Linked DNA regions of Ovis aries. The protein of the gene in region 1 binds, or shares a complex with, the protein of each later gene. Links are inferred from orthologs where the notes say so. Each region holds a gene or a part of one and is shown in the gene's direction. Other genes may lie near its edges.

What was found.
Region 2: the proteins of CNOT1 (region 1) and CNOT2 are in contact, whole or in part, in a crystal structure (PDB 5FU7), measured with the Homo sapiens proteins. The link is inferred for Ovis aries from reciprocal best matches to the Homo sapiens genes CNOT1 and CNOT2. Residues at the interface, in NP_057368.3 of Homo sapiens: His1864, Ser1865, Ala1866, Ala1867, Arg1870, Asp1871, Gln1917, Pro1921, Ala1923, Pro1925, Ala2003, Tyr2036, Leu2039, Glu2040, Ser2043, Arg2045, Ile2048, Ala2049, Ala2053, His2054, Leu2079, Leu2084, Lys2086, Gln2089, Ile2090, Leu2091, Tyr2092, Lys2093, Gly2094, Leu2096; in NP_001186231.1 of Homo sapiens: Met350, Val351, Asp353, Gln354, Phe355, Gly356, Met357, Ile358, Gly359, Leu360, Leu361, Phe363, Ile364, Arg365, Gly372, Met373, Val374, Leu376, Ala377, Leu378, Gly379, Ser380, Asp381, Leu382, Leu385, Leu387, Asn388, Leu389, Ser391, Glu393.
Region 3: the proteins of CNOT1 (region 1) and NANOS1 are in contact, whole or in part, in a crystal structure (PDB 4CQO), measured with the Homo sapiens proteins. The link is inferred for Ovis aries from reciprocal best matches to the Homo sapiens genes CNOT1 and NANOS1. Residues at the interface, in NP_057368.3 of Homo sapiens: Ile2327, Ile2330, Lys2331, Trp2338, Glu2350, Phe2353, Gln2354, Val2356, Ala2357, Met2361; in NP_955631.1 of Homo sapiens: Phe40, Ser41, Ser42, Trp43, Tyr46, Leu47, Leu49, Thr51.
Region 4: the proteins of CNOT1 (region 1) and ZFP36 are in contact, whole or in part, in a crystal structure (PDB 4J8S), measured with the Homo sapiens proteins. The link is inferred for Ovis aries from reciprocal best matches to the Homo sapiens genes CNOT1 and ZFP36. Residues at the interface, in NP_057368.3 of Homo sapiens: Gln821, Glu835, Asp845, Ala848, Asn849, Phe852, Gln853, Tyr856, Asn894, Glu897, Glu898, Phe901, Gln904, Tyr905, Pro906, Glu909; in NP_003398.3 of Homo sapiens: Arg314, Arg315, Leu316, Pro317, Ile318, Phe319, Arg321, Ile322, Ser323, Val324, Ser325.
Region 5: the proteins of CNOT1 (region 1) and DDX6 are in contact, whole or in part, in a crystal structure (PDB 4CRW), measured with the Homo sapiens proteins. The link is inferred for Ovis aries from reciprocal best matches to the Homo sapiens genes CNOT1 and DDX6. Residues at the interface, in NP_057368.3 of Homo sapiens: Glu1097, Ala1100, Phe1101, Phe1103, Asn1104, Asn1105, Leu1106, Ser1107, Ser1109, Asn1110, Lys1114, Lys1137, Arg1138, Ile1141, Glu1142, Asn1144, Phe1145, Leu1148, Tyr1149; in NP_001244120.1 of Homo sapiens: Phe329, Ser330, Arg331, Leu332, Gln333, Ile334, Asn335, Gln336, Leu357, Gly358, Tyr359, Ser360, Leu384, Arg386, Asn387, Ala402.

What each region holds. Positions count from the first base shown.
Region 1 is NC_056067.1:25,913,703-25,917,963, reverse strand, and holds part of CNOT1 (CCR4-NOT transcription complex subunit 1), read left to right. Parts: intron 1-1,071; coding exon 1,072-1,302; intron 1,303-1,617; coding exon 1,618-1,758; intron 1,759-2,767; coding exon 2,768-2,947; intron 2,948-3,463; exon of another isoform or gene 3,464-3,602; intron 3,603-4,261.
Region 2 is NC_056056.1:149,447,445-149,451,705, reverse strand, and holds part of CNOT2 (CCR4-NOT transcription complex subunit 2), read left to right. Parts: intron 1-580; coding exon 581-660; intron 661-3,237; coding exon 3,238-3,363; intron 3,364-4,261. UniProt on the Homo sapiens protein: Component of the CCR4-NOT complex which is one of the major cellular mRNA deadenylases and is linked to various cellular processes including bulk mRNA degradation, miRNA-mediated repression, translational repression during translational initiation and general transcription regulation.
Region 3 is NC_056075.1:38,763,280-38,767,788, forward strand, and holds NANOS1 (nanos homolog 1), read left to right. Parts: upstream 1-1,604; 5' UTR 1,605-1,694; coding exon 1,695-2,570; 3' UTR 2,571-3,396; downstream 3,397-4,509. UniProt on the Homo sapiens protein: May act as a translational repressor which regulates translation of specific mRNAs by forming a complex with PUM2 that associates with the 3'-UTR of mRNA targets. Capable of interfering with the proadhesive and anti-invasive functions of E-cadherin.
Region 4 is NC_056067.1:48,457,101-48,461,506, forward strand, and holds ZFP36 (mRNA decay activator protein ZFP36), read left to right. Parts: upstream 1-1,788; coding exon 1,789-1,812; intron 1,813-2,662; coding exon 2,663-3,616; downstream 3,617-4,406. UniProt on the Homo sapiens protein: Zinc-finger RNA-binding protein that destabilizes several cytoplasmic AU-rich element (ARE)-containing mRNA transcripts by promoting their poly(A) tail removal or deadenylation, and hence provide a mechanism for attenuating protein synthesis.
Region 5 is NC_056068.1:29,126,032-29,130,795, reverse strand, and holds the start of DDX6 (probable ATP-dependent RNA helicase DDX6), read left to right. Parts: upstream 1-1,421; 5' UTR 1,422-1,624; intron 1,625-1,837; 5' UTR 1,838-2,026; intron 2,027-2,055; exon of another isoform or gene 2,056-2,123; intron 2,124-2,277; exon of another isoform or gene 2,278-2,371; intron 2,372-4,764.

The sequences.
Region 1 (4,261 bases):
GTTTAATCCAGCACTTTCTACCTCATTCCACTGGGTTTGTTTGTAGGAGTGCAGAGTATCCTTATGATGGTTTAGCCTCGGAAACTATAGCATGGGGGGCAGGAGTATATTCATGCCTATTGAGGGGTTTTGGAGGGCTATGCCAAAATTATGGCACTGAAAACTAGACAAGAAAGAGTTTGAAAAGCTTGGATGGGAAGTCACAGGCTGCTACAATCAGATGAGCATGAAATTCAGATCTGGGACCTTGAAAGACTACAGAGGGAGAATAAGGGAGATGGTACGAAAATGATCACACTAACAGTGATCCTGAGTTCCCACTTTAACACATTTATTACCCAGAGAAGAGGAGAGAAGTCATTCTTTATATTTCAGTTTAAAGGGCTGTATTTTTCCTTCTTGAAAATGTCTCCTTTTTTTAATAAAGTTAGGTATATATACATAGGTACTAGTTTTTGGTTGGGAACAAGCTGTTGGTAATAGTATCAGGAAGGCTGTGTCAGTCTTGTAATTTGTGTGGGAGAAGGAATTTTTTTGGACTGGGAAATGTGGAGGAGAGGGATGAAACTTATCCTAGAACATTGCTTACCCTTCAGTTGGCTAGGTGGTATAAATTGTTCTTGTTTTGTGCTATTAGCTTTACAGAGAGGGAACTCACACTGCAGTGTTTTTTAGGCTGTGGTTTTTTTTCATTAGCATCCAATAGAAATCAGTTTATTATATAAATTTTAGAACCTTTAAGTTTACTTATGTAAAGGAATTTAAGGAAATTTATAGGCAAGCATTTGTGGCTACCTTTTTAAAACTTGTTTTGTTAACTGGTTCTCTTATAAATACTTAAGCATAGTAACATTTTAGCTTTATTTCTTCAGAATTTTGTGGTATCCACTTACATATTACACATATGGGGATATGCACCAGAATGGGGCAAGATATAAGGGAGATAGATAAACCAGAAGAGTGCTCTGAAATGATTTCCAGTCTCTCAGAAGTGAGGGGAGTTTAATTCAAGTATTTCAGTTTCTGTTAAGAATTCTTATTTAATGTGTTTTTCTCTCTCTACCCCTATAGTATATTGAGTATGGACAGCAATCTAGAGATCCTCCGGTGAAAATGCAGGGCTCTATCACAACCCCTGGAAGTATTGCATTGGCTCAAGCCCAGGCCCAGGCCCAGGTTCCAGCAAAAGCTCCCCTTGCTGGCCAGGTTAGCACTATGGTAACCACCTCAACAACCACCACTGTTGCTAAAACGGTTACAGTCACCAGGCCAACTGGAGTCAGCTTTAAGAAAGATGTGCCAGTAAGTAGGTCTACTTTCTTTGTTGTATTTGTTGTTGCGTTGCAATATATCCAGTAGTGAGCATGTACTTTATTATAAATAACACATGCCTATTAAAAAAGCATGAAAGATCAGCATTTCTCCCTTTACCACCCCGATTTCCCACATGCAGCCCCCATGAATAGTTCAGTACATGTTCTTGCCAGCACTTCAAGTGCACAGTTGTACATACCATATGTATTCTATATACTAAAGGAATCTGTGTAAATACCCCACCCCTAGGATTTGTCTAGTAAGGATTTCAGTTTGTTAATTTTATGTATTTTATTTCTTTAGCCTTCTATTAATACAACAAATATAGATACATTGCTTGTGGCCACAGATCAAACTGAGAGAATCGTAGAGCCCCCAGAAAATATCCAGGAGAAAATTGCTTTTATCTTCAACAACCTCTCCCAGTCAAATATGACACAAAAGGTGAGTCTGAAGTAATAGTTTATATATCACTACAAATGTTCTCTGTTGTTTTTCTTGATGGATTGGGGGACTCATATTTGATATTCTCTATCCTTTTTAATCTTTAAAGGTGGAGATAATAGAATCAAAATGAAGGGAACTTGGATATACAACTAGTGGTTGTAGATTCTGTAGATGTTAAATAGCACTGATTTTATTTATTTATGCCACATGGCATGACATGTGAGATCTTAGTTCCCTGACCAGGGATCGAACCTCTTAATCACTGAACTTCTAGGGAAGTCCCAAATAGTATTGTTTTCCAGTGAGTTACAGGCTTTTTGAAGTAAGCTTGAAAATGATTTCATGATGGGAATTTCATTTGTATTTGTAGTCCCAATTCATATCCTCCCAGAGATCATTAACAGCTTTTGAAAAGAATTGATGCTTGTCTTACAAGATTATATGCTAAGATAATACTTGGAAATGTCTGTTTTCATCAATACTAATTAGCCTAAAGAAAAGGGTTTGAAATGTAATTTATAATGCAAGTACTGTCTTTGAGAATCTCACCATAATTGATTAGGGGAAATTTTTGAAGCATTTTGCATGGTTTTTGGAAGAAGAGTTTCAAACTTTACAAATAATTCCTAGAGATAGAAATGTAGAAAAACATAGTTCTGGCATCAGGTTTGTTAATAACAGGTTGTAGATTAGTAATTTATCTTCTTTTGTTAAAATGGAGAGTAAGTAAGATGGGGATGAAGGACTACATATTTTTCAGCTTTAAAGCTTAAAGTGATCATAGATGTTTCAGTTATAATTACCCAGATGATTGACTCTATACTTACATGGACTTGAATATACTGTACTTGATAGCAACTGTGTAAAATTGGGGAGATGTAGCATGTTGCTTTAGCATCTAATTTTGCAAGGAGCCATGCACTGTAGTTGTGTTCACAGAAATGAAACATAAAACTGTATTTTATCCTCTTAATTGAATACTTCCTATGTTGTAATGGTTGGCTAGGTTGAAGAACTAAAGGAAACTGTGAAGGAAGAATTTATGCCTTGGGTTTCACAATACCTGGTTATGAAGAGAGTCAGTATTGAGCCAAACTTTCACAGCCTGTATTCTAACTTCCTTGACACGCTGAAAAATCCTGAATTTAATAAGATGGTTCTGAATGAGACCTATAGAAACATCAAAGTAAGTGTTCTGGTGTTTCTTTTTTAATTTATTTTTTAATTGAAGGATAATTGCTTTACAGAATTTTGTTTTCTGTCAAACCTTTGTATTTCTTTTTACTACTGTTTTTAGTTTGGAAATATTTGATTGCACAGGTGGAATTAGGGGATATTGTTTTCTCCTGTATGTTGTACTTGTTACAGTATTTATGTAGGTTGCTTTAGGCATTGTTTCAAATACAGAACTAAGTTTTCATGAAGAATTTAGTCTTACAGACATACTCATTTTCGTCATTCTATACCATACCATCATTTATGTCTTAAATGCCAGATACCTCAAGATTCTTGAATGTTGTAAAATAGCCGTTTAAGATTCTCAGTTTCTTTTAAGGCCAAACGTTTCCTAATGGGCTAATGCTTGTTCTATAATATCTTAAGTATTTTTTTAGGAGGAATAATTTTTAAAGAAAACAGTGTGAACCAGCATATAGCTGAAAGCATTCTTGGCTGAATAACTTGGGATATTGGCTTAGGAACCAGCACTATATTTAAACCTGTGAATAGGAATTTTCCCTATTCTTGGTTACGCTGTAGTGCAAAAGAATTCCTGGCTCCTTTCTATTGCACAGCTGACTTTGTGCCATTCTGCTGTTGCTGTATGGAGTTAAGGAACATAACTAAATTCAGCCTTTGTCATTTGATAGCAGGGATTGTTGGGATATGAAAATCTCCACATGATTTGGATCAAAAGATTCTTTCTTTTAGACAAAAGTATAAATTTAAACTAATAGCCATAAAAGGTATTATGTAGGAAATGAATGTATGAGTGTATGCAAGACACTGGAGTGTTGGTTCTGTCTCCCTTAAGAAAGTTAAAAGTAGAGAATTGATGAAATGGATTAGGTCTTCTCGAAGTGGGTAAGCAATATTACAGTGTATTCCAGAAAGTAATCTCAGTTGTTTTCCAAAGATAATGCTAAAGATCACAACAGAGCACTGCAGTCTTCTTATACTCCTTAGTATGCCTGCTGTCTGGGAAGGACTTAAAAATCATAGCGGTAGTCTTTATTTGAATTGAATTTAGCTCTTCAAAATAGATTTGCAGTTGGGTCGCTGCTTCAAACTTAGCTAAAATTTTCAGTTTTAAAATACTTTGCTCTGGGACCATACGTGATACGTGGTGGTATTTCACATCAATATGATGTATTTTATATTTTTTACCTTCTGTAAAATTTAGTTTTGTAAATTTTTTTACTTTTTTTTAAATGTAAAGACGTTTGAAGGTAAAAATGTCACTGAACACAACAAAATATTGTAGTGATAACGTGGACAGTAT
Region 2 (4,261 bases), on another chromosome or scaffold:
GAATGATGTGTTTTAGAACACTGAATTCAGTTAAAGAAAAGCATCACTTAATTCAGGTCAACTAAACATTTATTGAGTACCTTTTGTATCCTCCTGAATGCTAAGGGCAAAGAGATGCAAAGGTGTGTCTGACATGAACTCTATCCATTCTAGTTGGGAAAAGGCAGACTATATGAATGAAAATCTTTTATGAAAAGTAATAATAGCACATTTTACCAGTAGTGAAAGAAAAGCAAATATTCAAGAATAGTCTTAAACTAAATCACCTGTTTTTGAGTTTAGTAACTTCTTCCAGTATATTCAGTAAGTTGACTTGCCAAGTACACAGAATGACACCCTTAATCTGTGCTTCATATAAATTCTTTGCTTTTTGTTTTTTAACTGATCGTTTTGGTTCTCAGTTGTTCATGGAAGGATTTTAGGGAACCTTTAAATAAAAATATTCAACTCAAAAATAAAATTAGTCTTTGTTTTTAGACATGTTGTTTTATATGAGGAGATCAAAAGTAAACACTTGTTTTTCTTCATCTGAAAGTTAGTGTTCTTACTGTATATCTAAAATTATTTTCTATGTACCCAGTATGTCTGGATTTGGAATGAACAGGAATCAGGCATTTGGAATGAATAACTCCTTATCAAGTAACATTTTTAATGGAACAGGTAAGCTTATTCTGGAGCTAGTACCCTATAAAAATATGATAGATCTTGAAATATAAAGCAGTTCAACGTACTAGTCTTAAAATAATTAAAGGAATTTTTGTGTTTAAATGATAGAACTTAATTTAGGGGAGAATTTGACAGGAAATAGGATTTAATTCAGTCAGTAGTTAAAAGATGGTTAAATATATTTTTTCACTTGGCATGGTATAGCAGTGTTATAACCTCAGATTTGTTTCCTTAACACCTGGAGAAAGCATGAACGTTAACTTAGTCTATATTTGTGCCTCAGAATCTTTTTGCTTCAAGAGCTTTTCTTATCCTCAGTCCTTTCACTGTGGTCTGAACTAGGTTGAGCGTTGTGGCATTCTGGCTATAGAGACCCAGATTGAACAAACCTTTAAAACTATATGGAGCACTTACAATTTTTTCTTAATAGTTTTAATAATACTAATTTTTGCATTTAACTCATAAATTTTTAATCTGGTTTTATGTGTAAAATTCAAAATTTATGTACATAGAAAGCCAATTCTGATTTTGACAGTAACGAATTTTTGCAGTCTATTGGTTTCTTTTATCAGCTGGCTTTAGACAGAAGAGAACGGGAGGCTTTGTTACTATTCTGCTTCAGGTTTTATCTTCTTCCACACTTGCCTCCAGACCCTTTCCTGAGAAAGCAAATGAAGGATGTTGTTATAGTCAGAGGAGCAAAAACGAGTATGATTGTGAGAGAGAAATACAGTAAAGGAAGTGGAAGGTGAAAGAATGATTAGTGAAACGGGGTGTATGTGGAAGCATGAGATTAGCAATTGAAATGATAGTTCTGGCTATTGGCTTTTAATTTTTCAACATTATTGTATGTTTACTAGCAGCCTGGATTGACCAAGTGACACTTAAGAATTTCAGTTTTTTGCATTTAAAAAAGTTTTGTGTTCTGATATGAAGTACCATATTCCGTTGTTTCTCAAAAGCACGTTTTTTTCATATTTAAATATCTCTGAAATTAGGATGCAGATCATAATTTAATTAGAGAAGTTTCTTTCCCTCATAAATGAACCGTAAAGTGACAGTGTGTCTCACAGTGCCATCTTATTTTCTGAAATATGGTTTATACACTTCCGTAAATTTTACAGTTATTTTTTGAAGTCATTTTTAACTAAGTATATTTTATACTAGGAAAGTTGTTTCCAAGTCTTACACCCTAAAAATAAAAATTTGTGAGTTAATACTATTTTTAGTGATTTTTAAATAATATATGCCAATTTTAAACTCCATTTTAGAGGACCTGAAGAAGTGTATTAAAAGTTAATGCTTACTATAAGTTTATAGTTAGAATTCATAACCAAGTAATTCAAGAGAGATTACTTTTTAAAGTACTGTATAAGCTATTGTTATGTATTGTTGCCTTTTTATATAATGCCTGTTTAGAATTCAGAATTCATAAGCTGCAGTTTCTTTAAAAGCAATGGGTTTGAATTATTTTATCTTTTACCCTTCATAATTTTAAATTGTCACCTGACTTGGAATGTAACTGTTTTCTATGAACAGAGTAATCTTGAGCTGTTTCTCTCTGAGATCCTTCTAGTTATGAAAATTAGAGAAAAATTAAAGTGAAAGAGGGGGCAGATAAATTGAAACTGGTTAAACACACTAGATGAGACAAAGTAAAACTATAGTGCATACTAACAGTAAGATAGAAAATAAATTCTTCAAAAATTAAGAATATAAGATTGTTAGAATATTAGAATAATTAATACATTGAGAAGAGATCAAAGTAATGATTAAAATAGGCAAAGTAGAAATGTTGGATTAAATTTTAGTTTTTAAAAGGAAAGAAACTGATATTTTAAAATTCAAAATAAACAGATATTTTATTTATTCAATTTATTGAGCGCCTACTGTGTAATAGGTAATATAAACTTCTGGGCTTTGTGTCATATTCTCATACAATTCACTCACCAGACATGAGAGCTCTACATGTATCCTATGTTCTCCACCCTACTTATACTCTCAACTGCAAAACACACATACTCACATACTTGCATGTATATACATTTGTATATGGAATAGGCCAAATAGACCAAAAATATCCTTAGGGATTCTGTTCCCATTGCTTGTGCCTCAAATATGATTCAGACCATTTGCAGGAGGCACTGTCATTATCACACCAGTGTTATAAATGAAGCCCCAAGCATTCCAGATACAACCTCTGTTTTTGAATACAGTGAAAAGAACAATTTTATCACAACAGCCTCCCCTCTTACTAATCAGCAACTTATAACTTGAATACCATCTTTCACAGGGGAAATAATGTACCACCTTACTCCTTATTATCTGTCTTAAGTCTCTAGGATTTGGGTTTGTTACTGTGTAGTAGGTACATACTGCTTTGCTGAGTTGTTCATAAATTCTTTCACATGAAGTCAATCCACAAATATTCATTGTACATTTACATATACCAAGTACAGTGCTGTACGTTGTTTAGGAAGAAGACACTGCCATTTCAAATTTTATTATAGTTAGTAATAATCTCTTTAAAATGTTTGTAGAGCAGTAACTAGTTTGTTTCTTCTTATTTAGATGGAAGTGAAAATGTGACAGGATTGGACCTTTCAGATTTTCCAGCATTAGCAGACCGAAACAGAAGGGAAGGAAGTGGTAACCCAACTCCATTAATAAACCCCTTGGCTGGAAGAGCTCCTTATGGTAATTAATTAAGCTTTTTATGGATGGCTAGTGAAAATTTTCTGTTACACACGCACACGTGTATATTTGCATGCATGTGTGTGTACACACATGTATTTATGTATTTTCTAATCAGAGTAATGTAGTTTTGTCAGAGTCGATAAATGCAAAGTGCTTTTTTTCCCCAGAATACCATGATAGCAGAGTTAAATGGGAAAAATTTGTATAGAAACCCCAAAAGGAAGTCTTCATTGGTATTCAGAAGTTATTTTTTTCTGGCATTTCTGCCTTAGTACACCTTAATAATCTATGGTTTGCCTTTGTTCAGTTCATGACACTTTTTTTTTAAAGAATACATTCTCACATTCCTAGTAATTAATAATGACTAACCATACACTGATGATTTTTTCTAAGCCAGTTTCTCAACCTCCACACTACTGATATATGAATAGATAGTTTCTTGTAAATGAGAGACTGTCCTGTGCATTGCAGAATGTTTATCAGCATTCCTGCCCTTTGCCTACTCAATGCCCAGTAGCACCCCCACCCCTACTCCCACCCTTTGTGCACGCCCCCCCTCCCCGCCCCTTCCCCCTGCCCCTGGCCATTGTGACAACCGCAGATGTTGACACATGTCTCATGGGAACAAAAAATCGCCTCCTGTTGAGAACTGCTTATGGGTCATGTATATATAGTTTATGTAGACTCTTGGTCACCACTCATACCCTTTTTCACTATCTTTAATAAATGAGAGATTTGGCTAGACATGGGAATTATGTAACAGCAATATTTTTTTGTATCCTTTGCACATAATTGTTTCCTTTTGGTAGAATGTGATAAAGACTAATAGTAAAAACTTAAAGGGATCATTTCATCAGTTCTGAGATACCTGTTTTTCCCATTTGCAACCAACGTGGGT
Region 3 (4,509 bases), on another chromosome or scaffold:
TCTGAAATAGCTTCCAGATTCACGGTGTAGAGGGAAGGCCACCAAGCCAGTCATGAAGAGGCCTGAGTCCTCACTCTGGCAGTGTGACAAATTCACTGTGTGTTGTAAAGAAGCCTTCTCTTCTCTGGGTCTCATTTTCTTCATCTGTAAAGTTAAGATCGGACTGAATGATACCAAAGATCCCCTTCACTGTGAGCATTGGGACTCATTCATTCATTCCCCTGTTAACCCGAGCCAGCACTAGGTTCTGGGCATCCCTATGGGGCCACTCTACACCTGCTGGGACGTACCCAGACCCACCCACTAATGACAGCTGCCAACACCAGTCTCCCAACCCTTGTTTCAACAGACAGAGCTCCTCCAGAGAGAGGAAGGAAAACCCTACCTGCCAGCTTAGAGGAGGCATTGTCCCCGCCCCTCAGCACCCTACAGGAACCCTCCTCCCACCTAATACTTTTCCTACTTTCCATATTTTAAAAAACCTTGTTGCTCCTTCTCCTGGGAAGGGCATGACCATCTCGTAGCCACCTAAAGTCTTCTGATTTATTTTCCACCGTTTTTACAAAAGTACAGTATTCATTTCAAAGTATTAAATGGTGACGCTGAAGTGGCCCCTGAATACGCTTTGTTATTTCAATTGCACAAACACCTCATATGTCAATACGGTCACCTCACCCCAGGGGCAACGGGGAGTGAGGAGCTACACACACTTAGAAACACACACACTGATCATTGTCCTAAGGCCCTCACCCCTACCTGTCTGTCACCAGCTACTGGCCACCACCTGGTCTCGGAACACCTGTTGGGAGGTGCTACAGTGCTGCTGTGGGAAAGTTATGTGTCCTTCCACTACTTACGAGGTAAGAACTAAAACCTCTCTGAAGCTCCCTGAGGTTTGTGAGAAGATTCCACTCAGTTGAAAGCTCTCCAAAACGCTGTGCAAAAGGAAGTTACTTGATTGCTGGGCGGCTCCCACTTAAAAACTGCATCGTTAGCTCGCACCAAGTCTTGCCTCCCCACATCTTTCCTTGCTGATGCTGATGAGAAGGAGAGAGGAGAAGGGGTTTCTCAGAAGACAGAGGCTGGCCCAGGGCACTAAAAGCTTGGGAGGTGGGTCTCACCCCCAGGCTGAGAGAGAGCCAGGACTGGTCACCTGTTCCAAACCAGGGGAACAGGCGAAGGCGGGCCCCAGCAGCCGCCCCTCCCCTACATCCCCCTCCCCTCCCAGCTTCTCGGTAGGGCACGCCCCCTCCCCCGGATTCACCAATCACCGTCCGGAGCGGCGCCCGTGGCGCAGGGGGCTCTGGTCAGCAGCCAATTAGCGCAGCGGCCCGAGGCGGTGCCTGTCCGCCCCCTCCCAGAATGAAAGCTGCCCGGCAGCTGGCGAGGCGGGCGCAGCGCGTGGGGTGCTGGAGCCTTGCCTGCCGGAGCAGCGCGCGCTCACTGCCCGCCCGCCCCCCGCGCGTCCGCCTCCGCTCCGCCTCCGTCCCGGGCGCGGGCGAGGTGGCCCGGGCGGGGGAGGGCAGGGGGCAGGGCCGCGGCGGAGAGGCCGCGGGGCGGGGAGGAGCGGGGCCCGATAAAAGGCGGCGAGGCAGTCCCACCCCGAGGCAGGCCGGCGGGCAGGCTCGGCTCGTCCCTTCCGTCCGGCCCGCGCCGGCGGCGGGGAGGCGGCGCGCGCGGCCCGCACCCCGCCCATGGAGGCTTTCCCCTGGGCGCCCCGCTCGCCCCGCCGCGGCCGCGCCCCCCCGCCCATGGCGCTTGTGCCCAGCGCCCGCTACGTGAGCACCCAGGGCCCGGCGCACCCGCAGCCCTTCAGCTCGTGGAACGACTATCTGGGACTCGCCACGCTCATCACCAAGGCGGTGGACGGCGAGCGGCGCTTCGGCTGCGCCCGCGGCGGGGACGGCGGCGGAGACGGCTCCCCGCCCTCTTCTTCCTCCTCGTCGTGCTGCTCCCCCCACGCGGGGGCCGGGTCCGGGGCGCTGGGGCCCGCGCTGGGGCCGCCCGACTACGACGAGGACGACGACGACGACAGCGACGACCAGGGGTCGCGGAGCCGCTACCTGGGGGGCGCGCTGGAGCTGCGCGCGCTGGAGCTGTGCGCGGACCCTGCCGAGGCCGGGCTGCTGGAGGAGCGTTTCGCTGAGCTGAGCCCGTTCGCTGGTCGCGCCGCTGCCGTGCTTCTGGGCTGCGCACCCGCGGCCGCCGCGGCCACCGCCGAAGCAGCGCCGCGAGAGGAGCGGGCCCCAGCGTGGGCGGCCGAGCCCAAGCTGCACGCCGCCAACGGGGCGGCCGCCACCCGGCTGCTCAAACCCGAGCTGCAGGTGTGTGTGTTTTGCCGGAACAACAAGGAGGCGGTGGCGCTCTACACCACCCACATCCTGAAGGGACCCGACGGGCGGGTGCTGTGCCCCGTGTTGCGCCGGTACACGTGTCCCCTGTGCGGTGCCAGCGGCGACAACGCGCACACCATCAAGTACTGCCCGCTTTCCAAAGTGCCGCCTCCGCCTGCAGCCCGCCCGCCGCCGCGCAGCGCCCGGGACGGCCTGCCCGGCAAGAAGCTGCGCTAAGGGCCCGGATCCCCATCTGCTGCTGCCCCATGATGCCACCAGGGTAGACGCCCGCCCACTCTCGTGTTTGGTCTGCGCACCATTTCTCCCTCGCTGCCGGGGGAGCGTGGAGCTCGTCTTGGCTTTTCCAGAGGAAGCCAACGGTACTGAGTATTTTCCTGTCGAAGAGCGGTTGAGACTAGACGTTAAAATCTTTGATTGTTTCTAGTTTGTGCACATCCAGACGGTGAAGGCTGGGTACTAACTGAAATGTGGCAACTTAGAGGCGCTGTGGTTTGTTTATACGTCGACCTATTTTAGATGCGCATCAGTATGAAATTGTCTCAATCTAATCTTGGATGTTTAATTTTATGAGTGGAGGCACTTTACTAGGTCTAGAATATTTTTTTAAAAGCCTCTCAACTGAACTTAAAACTGGCGATTTTATGGAGTGTCAGCAAAATGACTATTTTATTGTTTGAAACAAGTAATATTTCTGTTGTCCTTACCCAGTTATAATTCCAGGTGAAGCCCTGCCTGGTAGCAGCATTAAGTGAAGACTTGGTATACTTTACAGTAGTTTGGGTGGGTGTTCCCTCCTTGTGGCTTGTTTTTGTCCTAGCTGGAGATGTATAAAATGTACAATTTGTAGGTAGCAGGTAGAATACAGCTCATGTATGTACCAGATCTTTTTATTACTGAACGAGCAACTACCGTTTTCCCCCTTTAAAAATAGTGCCAAGTTATAATCATATTGTGTATACACTTGAAAATGGTGCTGTTTAAAAAAAATTGTGTATTTATACAGTAACAGTATATGAATTCATTAACCTTGCCTTTAACTCTACTACTTGGCTTTTTCTTTATGCCCCTTCCTATTCCAGTTCTTCAAAAATATGTCGTACTTAAGATCAAAAGGGTGCAGTATTCATTCACTCTGAATTGCTCGATTTCAGGGTCTCTAAATAGTGGAAATCTCATTCCAGCTGTTGCCTCTCACACTAAATGTAAGATGGAATCCTCTGAGCTAATGGAACAACTGGTGTTCAGGAAGGTTCCACTCTGGACTGTGTCAGCTTTAAACCATCATAGAAGTCAAACCAGTATAAGTAACAATTAAAGGAACTGACTGGGGGTAGGTGGGGTAAGACATGGAACACAGCCTCCCCCTATTGTGTTCCCATTCTCATTAGAACAACCATTCTGGAATCCCACCAGTGATTTTCATCCATGAGATTAAATCTCATCTTGGGCAAAGGTGCTTGACTTCTACTTTAACCTACCACACCGTATGTACCATCAGAACAGACACAGAAGGTAAAAATGGAAATTAACATGAAGTCATCTAAAATGTACAAAAATCACTATCTGAAAATAACAGCAACAAATTTAGTCTTTAGAGGTTCCAGGAGAGCTTAGCTAGGTTATTAAAAATTAGGCTGCCTTCATATTTAACTACCTCCCTCCACAGCCTATTTGCTTCATTTGAACACTTCTTTTAAAGTCTAAGAAGCTGCCATGATAGCTATGAGCTTTTTTGGTCAAAGGGTGGGAGAAGGGGGCGGGGGCACACAGGCAAACCATTCATTTCTTGGTCAAGAACTATAACAAGAGCTATACTTGTTAGTATAGCTCCAAATGAGAAAACTTCATATATGAATATACCTAAACTCAAAAGCATGCATTAACTTCTTCTCTTCAGTTTTGCTAGAAAACATATCAATTTAAAAGAGTTTTGCTTTCTGGGTTGTTTTTAGGTCACATGAATTCCTGTCACCTCTTGCCACTGCTTTAATTTTACCTTTTCAAGAGTCACTATTAACAGATGGGTGCATTCTCCAGACTGGAAGGACTAGGCAGATGACTTACCTATCAGCAGCAACACCCCACCCCCCACCAGCCATTTGCCTGTTTTGCAGCTAACTTTACCTTCTAGTATTTTGAATGTCAGTAGTTCTCT
Region 4 (4,406 bases), about 23 Mb from region 1:
CTTTTCCCGTAGTCCTCAAGCCTCTGTTTACAGGCGACCAAAACCCTGGTTACAGAGAGGAACCCGGGCGTCCGGGTCGAGCCTCCTCGTCACGGCTTCCAGGAAGCCCCCCTCCCCCGCCCCTTGCGAGTGAGTCACTGGCGAGAGGGAGGCTGCAACCGTGCCAGAGCCGCCCGCAGCCGCCCAGCTCACGGGACCGGCCGGGAAGGCCCCTCGGCCCGAGAAAGCGCCGCACCAGGGATTCCCCCGTGCTCTGTCGGACGAGCAGATCAGCGTGCCTAGCAGAATCTCCCCACCTCAATACAAGCCCGCAGTCCGCAGTCACAACCTGCAAGAATGAACTTTCCACCATAATAACTGCACTCCGTGGCAATGATTTATTTCTACCACCGTATTTTCAGTCAGGGCAGCCAGCTCTGGAGACCCCCTTTAAAAATTAGTGTTTTTACCATATCTTAAGAGAGCATCACTCAGGGCAACTCCTTTACAATAAAAGACTTGTCAATGAGGGGAGTGATTTCTGCAAACGCAGAGTTCTTTCAAGGCACATCCCTTTATGAGAGTCCCATCCGACCATCAGTTGGGGATGATCCATTTCTTCCATTTGAGACAGCTTTCCAGCAAAGAAACCCTCCATCATAATAAAAGATCTCCCCCTTTCCAATCTTGAGTTTTCTTGAGTGCAAACTCCCTTTAATATGATTTAAGGCCCTGGTATTAAGCTAATGCCATTCACTAACAATAACTTGGCCTCTTCATGCCTGGGTTTCCCTGTGTTTAAAATGGGCATAATACCTCCTTGGGTTAATGTATGTAAGACACTTTCTGCAATTGTGCCTAGCCCAGAGGAAGCCATCAGAAGCGCCATTATTTGTGTGAGGGTGAGAGGACACAGCGGTCCTGTATTTGGGAAATGAGGCCCCTTTCCAACCTCACCAGGTGTGTGGGACCCCACCTCACCCCCAATCCTCGTGAATGGGAGCAAAGAGGGCGGTCCAGGTCTCAGGATCTGGGCAGTTCGGGAGCAAGACCGTCCAGGATTGGGGAGGCTCTTCTCTCACTGTTTTGCTCCTGCGGATTTCTGTCTGTGGATGTTTGTTTCTTCCAGTTTTCGCCCCTTCTCTATTTGTACGACTCTCCCTCCCTCCCGCTTCTCGCTCTGAATTTGTCTCTTTGGGGACTGTCTACGTCTCTTTTCAAGCTCTGCCTTCCCACCTCCCCTCCTCTCCTCACCCTGTCTCCCCCGCTCTGTGCATGTCTCCCTGTGTGCGTAGCTCCCCCCGTGTGTGTGTGTGCCCCCATGTTTTTCTCTTTGCGTCCCTCCATTTCTCTCTTGCTCTCGGTTCGCCTCTCCCCGCCCCTGTCGATCAGTGTCGCGCGCGCACGCCCTCTCCGCCTCTGCCCTTGTCAATTCCCCCGGGAGCCCTGCCCCCACCTCCGTCCCGGTTCCCTTCTCCGCGCCTCAGTCTCCAGCCTTGAAAACTGGGCCGACACCCCCACCCCCCACCTCACGCACTCCCCGCGGGGTCGCGACCGCCCGCGGGCCCCGCTCAGGCGAATTCGGGCCGGGATCCAGGCGGAAGGGCTCCGAACTCGGGCCGGCAGTGCTGCGCTGGGGGCGCGCGTCCGGGAAGCGCCCCTCCTCGCCCCGCCCTCCCGGGGCCAACTCCCCTTGGCCCCGCCTCCCCTCTGGTCGAATAAAAGTGGCGGCTCTTCCACTCCACCGCAGCGTGACTTCAGCGCTCCCACTTTCCGTCGGCTCTACATCCTTCGGCCATCTGCGCCGCCATGGATCTCGCCGCCATCTACAAGGTGAGCCCCCCAACCGATCGGCACCCCGACGTCCGCAACACCTGACTCCCTTCTCAAACCAGGGCTTTCTAGGGCCGCAAACAAATTCCTGCCCCGGACCAGCCCTCCCCGCACCGGTTTCCCTTCTCAAACTGGAACTCCTTAGCGCTTCACACCGGCCCGGGGTTCCTGCCTCCCGGATCAGATCAGTGTGATCCTCTGGGGATGAAAATGGAGCCTGTGGCTTTCTGATCTCGGCCCCAACACGAGTGGGGTGGCCCTCGGAGATGGAAAGCTGGAGAACTTTTCTCAGACCGGGGCTGTCTGGAGGCGGAAATGGCCCCCACACCTGGATTACCCGAGTAGTTGCTGAGGGCGCGGTTTTGCGCGGAGGCGTTTCTGGGGCTGGAGTCTCAGGGTGAGCGGGAGCTGACTTCTGTCTCTTCGCTCCCTGCCCCAGAGGATCTTGGAATTCTAAACCCGAAGAGATCCGGACTCCTGGCTTAATTTTGCCCGCTGTTCCACTTGTGAAATTGGAGAAACCGATGAGTGGGGTCAGATCCCGAGAGGCCCAGAGGCTTAAAAAATTGGAGAACAGCAGTCTGTCCTGACTTTAGGGCCCCTCTGATCCAGCCGGGGGAGCCGAGATTAGTGGGTCCCTCGGGATGAGCTTAAATCGCGAATAAACCTCCAAATCGGGATCCCTGAGATCCGGAACCCGAGGTTTGTTTTTTTTTTTTTTTTCCCTTAGGGCGGGTGGGGCTGAGGCCGGGAGCCCACAAACCGGACTGGCAAGCCCTTGGTTGCCCTGCAGCTGGGGCGGGGCGTCACCCTGTATTTTCGGTGTCTTAACCGATCGTTGTTTCCACAGAGCCTCCTGTCGCTGAGCCCTGAACTGCCATCCGACCTCGGAGAGACTGAGTCCAGCACCAGCTGGGCTTCCTCGGGACCCTGGAGCCTCAGCTCATCCGACTCCAGCCTGCCTGAGGCCGCTGCCCGCCTGCCTGGCCGCTCCACCAGCCTGGTGGAGGGTCGCAGCTGCGGCTGGGTGCCCCCACCCCCAGGCTTTGCGCCCCTGGCTCCTCGACCCAGCTCGGAGCTGTCGCCCTCACCCACCTCGCCTACCGCGACTCCCACCACCTCATCCCGCTACAAGACTGAACTATGTCGGACCTTCTCAGAAAGCGGGCGCTGCCGCTATGGGGCCAAGTGCCAGTTTGCCCATGGCCTGGGTGAGCTGCGCCAGCCCAGTCGCCACCCCAAGTATAAGACGGAGCTCTGCCACAAGTTCTACCTCCAGGGTCGCTGCCCCTACGGTTCGCGCTGCCACTTCATCCACAACCCCAGCGAGGACCTGGCTGCCCCCGGCCATCCCCATGTGCTGCGCCAGAGCATCAGTTTCTCAGGGCTGCCCTCGGGCCGCCGAACCTCGCCACCACCAGCAAGCTTAGCAGGCCCTTCCGTGCCCTCATGGTCCTTCTCGCCCTCCAGCTCCCCACCACCGCCACCCGGGGACCTTCCACTTTCACCCTCTGCTTTCTCTGCTGCCCCCGGGACACCTGTGTCCCGAAGGGACCCCACCCCAGCCTGTTGCCCTTCCTGCCGAAGGGCCACCCCCAACAGCGTCTGGGGGCCTGTGGGTGGCCTAGCTCGGAGCCCTTCTGCACACTCCCTGGGATCTGATCCCGACGAATATGCCAGCAGCGGCAGCAGCCTGGGGGGATCCGACTCACCTGTCTTTGAGGCTGGGGTTTTTGGGCCACCTCAGCCACCTGCCGCCCCTCGGCGACTTCCCATCTTCAATCGTATCTCCGTTTCGGAGTGACAAGTGCCTGCCTAGTACAGATCAGCTGGATCTTAAGGGGGGCCATTTTTCTTGTGCGTGGGTTCCACAAGGGGTCCCGGGGCTGTAGGGAACTGAGGGACTCGTAATCATGTAGTTCTCCCCACCTTCCAAAGTGCATTAACTCACTCCCCTGACCCCCGCGCTGGGGCAGGTCCTCAGCGTGCAGGCTGTTTGGGAAGGAGTGTTTTATGGGGTCTTTTAAAAAAAATGTAGCAAGTTTGAGGGAGGTAGTAAGCCTCTTCAACTTCACCCCTGCCCAATGCTGTGAATAATAAGCCCCCAATGCCCTCTTCCAGTTACTTCCTAGATCCTGGGGCTCCAGTGTCGTGATTGGAGCCTCACCTGAAAGGGAATCCTGGTGCTCAAACTTCCCTCCAAAAGCAAGTAGCCAAAGCCATTGCCAACGCCCGGCTCTCCCACCCCCGCCTTTGGGCCCTTTATTTATGACGACTTTATTTATTCTAATAGATTTTATAGTATTTATATATATTGGGTCGTCTGCTTCCCTTGTATTTTTCTTCCTCTTTTTGTAATATTGGAAACGATGAAATAATTATTGTTATAAGTATACACTATAATATATTAAGTAATATATATTGTTAAAAATTTATTTTTGTGGTTTTCTGGAATTTTTAAATAAATCTGTGTGTAAATTGGAATCCCGGCTGTTGTGCGGTCTTGAGGCAGTAAGATGGGAGGGGTGGACGGTGTGGCCTTTTTTAGAAACTGGAATCAGCCTCGGGTAGCTCCTCCAAACCTACCCAGAGCC
Region 5 (4,764 bases), on another chromosome or scaffold:
GGCAGCTATTTCATGTTCTACTCTTGGTTGCCTTCTACCCTTTGGTTTTCATCATGACCTGAGCCAGGGCCCCTTTGAAGGTAAGAAATTTATGTGGGAATACAAACCCCTTTCCTTTGGCTGGTCTCATTTTTTGAGAGGTCTAGGGAAAGAGACCGGAGTAGGCTGTGGCCTGTTTTAAATCCCTAGGCTCCTCTCCCTCCTACTCACTTCTTGTCCTCCTCCACTTCACATTCCTGCTACATGGCAAGACAGTGGGGCCTCAGACCTCAACATTTTATTAAACAACCACTTAGCCATTCTCTCTCCGGTGTGGACACAAGATGCTGGTTATTTCCTTTAAATGAGTGGGTTTTTTAAAAGCTGGGTGGGCGACCACATGTTACAAATTCAGAATTAAAAAAAAAAAAAAAACTGTTAAAGGTCCGTTAAAAAAAAAATCTCAAGAACAGCCTTTTAACATTTCTTTAACACCTCTTTTTCGGCTGTGTGGAAATAAAAATGACCACCAATGAGAACAAGTTATTTACTCAAAGCTTGCTACAGTGAGAGCCAGCCACCTTCACTTAGCTGGGGACTCAAACGCCGACAGTTAAAAATAAAGGGGCGGATGGGGATGGGTGAAGGCTTCAGGGTTTGCTCTGATTGGAGGTTAACTCGGGGAAAGCTGGAGGCGGGCTAACTAGAAGCGGGGAGTCTAACGTGATTGGTTTAGGGGAACATATTTGGCTTTCTCTAATTGGTCCAGAGTTGGAAACACAGGCAAAAAGTAGGGAAGCTGGCAGTCAATGACCGAATCTGGCTCATTCTGAGCTGATCACTGCAGAGGTTGTGGTTTGGCTTCGCGTGTTGGTTGCAGCAGAGGTTGTGGGTCGGAGTTCTGTTGTCAACCTATGGTCTGGTCATTGCCTGGTATATTGTCTCTCAGTTGAGAGTGAGACCCAGGTTTTTATTATTCCTTTAACCTAGCCAACTTGCTAGCTTCCGATTTTTGTTTTACCTGGAACAAGATTGCATTCCTGTTATTTCGGTTAAGGATAAACGGAGACATTAGAATATGAAAAGTAATTATGGGAACAAATACATAAATATCTTTCTGATGAGGGTCGGGCTGGGGAAAGAATTACGCTTGGTCTTCTAGTTCATTTCCGTACAGAACTCCTATTCCCATCATAACTGACTCTAGCAGCGTTTCCTTCCTTCTGGGGAGGCTCGGCCTCCCTGGTTCCCTCTCTTTGAGGATTGCCCTTTAGTGCTGAGAAAGCGGGGATCGCTGCTCTAGTCTCCCACTTCCCTCTCCGAGGCTCGCTTTCTGGGTTCCTGCCCCGGTCGCACCCCAGCTACCCAGCACCCCACCCTCGCCCAACTTTCCCACAGCCTTCTCCACCCCTGCCCCCGCCCGCCCGCGCACAGCGCCCCCTGGCCCCCGCCCCGCGCTCTCCCCGGGGTTCTCCCTGCTGCACCCGTCCCGGCAGGTCCCCCTTCCTGTCCCCACACCCGGGTGCGTGCTGGCGCCTCCGGACCACTGGTTCCGCGCGTTCCTGGATGGAGGCGCGCCCCGCAGGGGCTCGGACGCGGCCCCCTTGGACCTGCAGCAGCCTCCCTGGCCCGCGAGAGATGTCAGGTCAGCTGTCTCGTCCCCGAATCGCTACCGGGTCCTTGGTCAGGAATAAGCAGATCCTCCTCGGGTCCCAAGCCCTCGACTTCCACTTTGGGGGGGGGGGGTACTCTTCCCACCCACCATTCCCGGATCATTTCTCCTTAGCTGTGGAAAAGGCAGTTCTCCTTTCTCTTTGAAGGGATCCATATTTCCCTTTCAACTTCCCCTCCATTTCAGCCCCCGCAGACTCCCCGTCGGTGGAAAAACACTGCCCTCCATTTTCTCCTGAGGAAGGCTCCTCGGCCCGGATTTCTCCTGACGCGAAGCAACGGAGGCCGAGGAGCCGCGACGGGTGCAGCAGCGGCAGCTGGGCGCTCGCCATCTTGCGCGGAGGAGGAGCCGCGGCGGCCGCCATGCGGAGAACGGGTGGGGGGGCAGTCGGCGACGGAGGGGGCGGGGGAGCCGAGTTAGCTCAGTCCGGGCGGCGGCTTCGGCGGCGCCTTGAGAGCGGGCAGCGGCGGAGGTAGGGCTGGCCGGCCGGGGAAGCGAGCGGGCGGGCGAAGGCAGGCCGGCCTGAGCGGCCCCCCGAGCGGGGGCGGGGCGGGGGCGGGAGGAGGCCGAAGCGAGGGGCCGGGTGGGGGCGGGCGGAGGTTTCCGAGGAGGAAGGAGCCGCCGCCATTTTGGGAGCTTCGAGTCAACAATAAAGGACCGAGGGTGCCGAGCGGGAGTGGCCTCGGTGGTAGGACTCGGGCCTGAGCCGCGGGGAGAGGGGTGAGGTGGAGGGGTGGCGGTCTGCCGTGTCGCAGGGGCTGCAGGAAGCCCCCAGGCTGGCGTGGGGGGCGCTCTGAGGCGGAGGCCTGAGGCCTGGCCGGGCCTTGGGGAGGAAGGCGGGCGGCGGGCGCCAGCTGTGGGGTGGGGACGCCGGGAGGAGTAGCATAGAGCAGTGTTGTGCCCGGCGGGGTCCGGAGGAAGAGCGGGAGAATTCCTCAGAGGAGCTTTGTGGGTGACGAGGGAGGGTGGGACCGTAGGGGGCGGCAAGGACTTAGGGAGATGGTGGAGGTTATAGGGTACGAGGCGGCCCTATAGGGGGCGGCAGGGATATGCTGTAGCGGAGGGCTCAGTTTGGAAGAGGACCGACTGCTTGACGGAGTAAGGCCTTGCAGGTCGATAACGGGGTGATTATGGAGCCTCCGAATGTCGGAGGAAAGAAGGGGCTGTCGGACTTAAAGGTTTCTCTTTTGGGGGAATCCCTATTGTTTCCTAGCTGGGGAGCTGGTTCTCTGCTCTGGTTGCGCAGATGCGATTGCAGGGCCCCAACCCTTTTGTGTTTATGGGCCCAGGGAGCTGACTTGAAGTGTGTAGGGGTTTTGGAGGGGGATATGAAGGGGAGGGAAACAAGAAGTTATTTGCTTGCAAATCAAAATCATTAGCTTCTTTCCTTTATCACTCACTCCCCTTTTTCTTTCTCAGTCCCCTTGCCCCTTCAAAATAGAACAGTCACTCCAACTGGCAGACCGAGCTTAGAGAAACTGCGCTGCATTTGCAAACAAAAGGTCTTTTTGGAGATGACGAGACTGTTTTGGGTGTGAAACTGTCAATCGCTAACTACGGTCTGGGAAGTGCTGTAATTAACTCAGCTAGGGTTCCCTCCCAACTAGTCTCTGTTTCGTTCGTATTTTTGAAAATGTAGAAATACAACTTGGAAATCTAAATTGGGAATGGGTAGGAGGAATATTTCTTTTCCTGAGACGTAAAGCTGCAGTGCAGCTTAATTAAGAGGGGAGCAGTTCTCACATAGTCACATTTTGGCTCTAGGGAGATACGAGGTCTTATGTGCATGATGGACAGTAATATTACCATTTAATCTTTAGAAGTTGCCCTCTTCATCCTCTTAGTGCTTTGCAAATAAGTAATCTTCAGGTGTGAAATAGGTGATATCGCTGATCATATATAAACTTGTCAATACAGGAAACCACCTACTACCTTGAACTGAAATTAGGTGGCTGTTAACTACCCTGCTTAAGAGGTCAGTCAGTTTCTGCATGACTTCAAAATATACAGCTTTGTGTATGTGATAATAAGGATTTGCTTTTGAGCAACTTTATTTTCAATTAAAAAAAAGACATCAAAGAATTTAAAATTTGTATTGTTTGAGAAGCTTTGGTGTATGGCAGAAGGAACAGTAATTAATTAGCTACTGTATTTTCGGTAAGAAATATAAAGGTGTTAACACACCAGAGTAGGCCTTTATTCCCTCCCACCCGCAGTTGTGAAATTAAGGTCTTACTTTTAAAAAAACATAATTTTATTTGGGGAATAATTTTTTAAAATAACTTAATCAGTACTCTGGGTGTCCTAGAAAGTTTGATTAAAAAGTTAGTAATGTCTTTATTCTTTCACAGATTTGTGTGTGTTTTTTTAAAGCACAGGTAATTTCCTCATTGGAAAAGACCCTAATGCTGGGAAAGATTGAGGGCAGGAGGTGGGGGGGCGACAGAGGGTGAGATGGTTGGATAGCGTCACCGATTCAATGGACATGAGTTTGTGCAAACTCTGGGAGGTAGTCAAGGACAGGGAAGCCTGGCATGCTGCAGTCCATGGGGTCCGTGGGGTCGCAGACAGTTGAGTGAGACTTTGTGACTGAATAACAATTTCCTTTTTGTGGGGTGTTGGGTTGTTTTTTTTTTTTTTTTTAATTAAACTGCTACTTCAAGTTGAGACATACTTTTGAAAGAGTTATATTTTAAAATGTAACATTTCTGTAGTAGTCAGACTTAAGTAAGATAGCTAAAGGTTTTCTTGGCTGTTTTTTGAACAGAAGATTTTGACATGTAGACGTATTTATGTCCCTTGACTGCTTTAGTTATTGTTTTTAAAGGGCAAAAACTTAGGGGGAAAAAGAAAGTGTAGTTTCTTCAGGTTTAACTTCTTTGGTTCAAATTCATAAGGGCATACATAATGCTTTTCTGAAAGCACAAAGTGAAATCAAAAGCTCAACTCTTCAAGGATTCTCAGTTGTCAGAAACAGAAAAAAAAATGAATGAATGGTTTTGCCTTGTTCCTTTGTAGATTTACATTAATTAAGCTGTGCCATTCTTCATTGAGTTGTAATGCAATTGATTGTAATGAATCATTGACTTTTAGAGGTGGCAGGGACTTTAGAG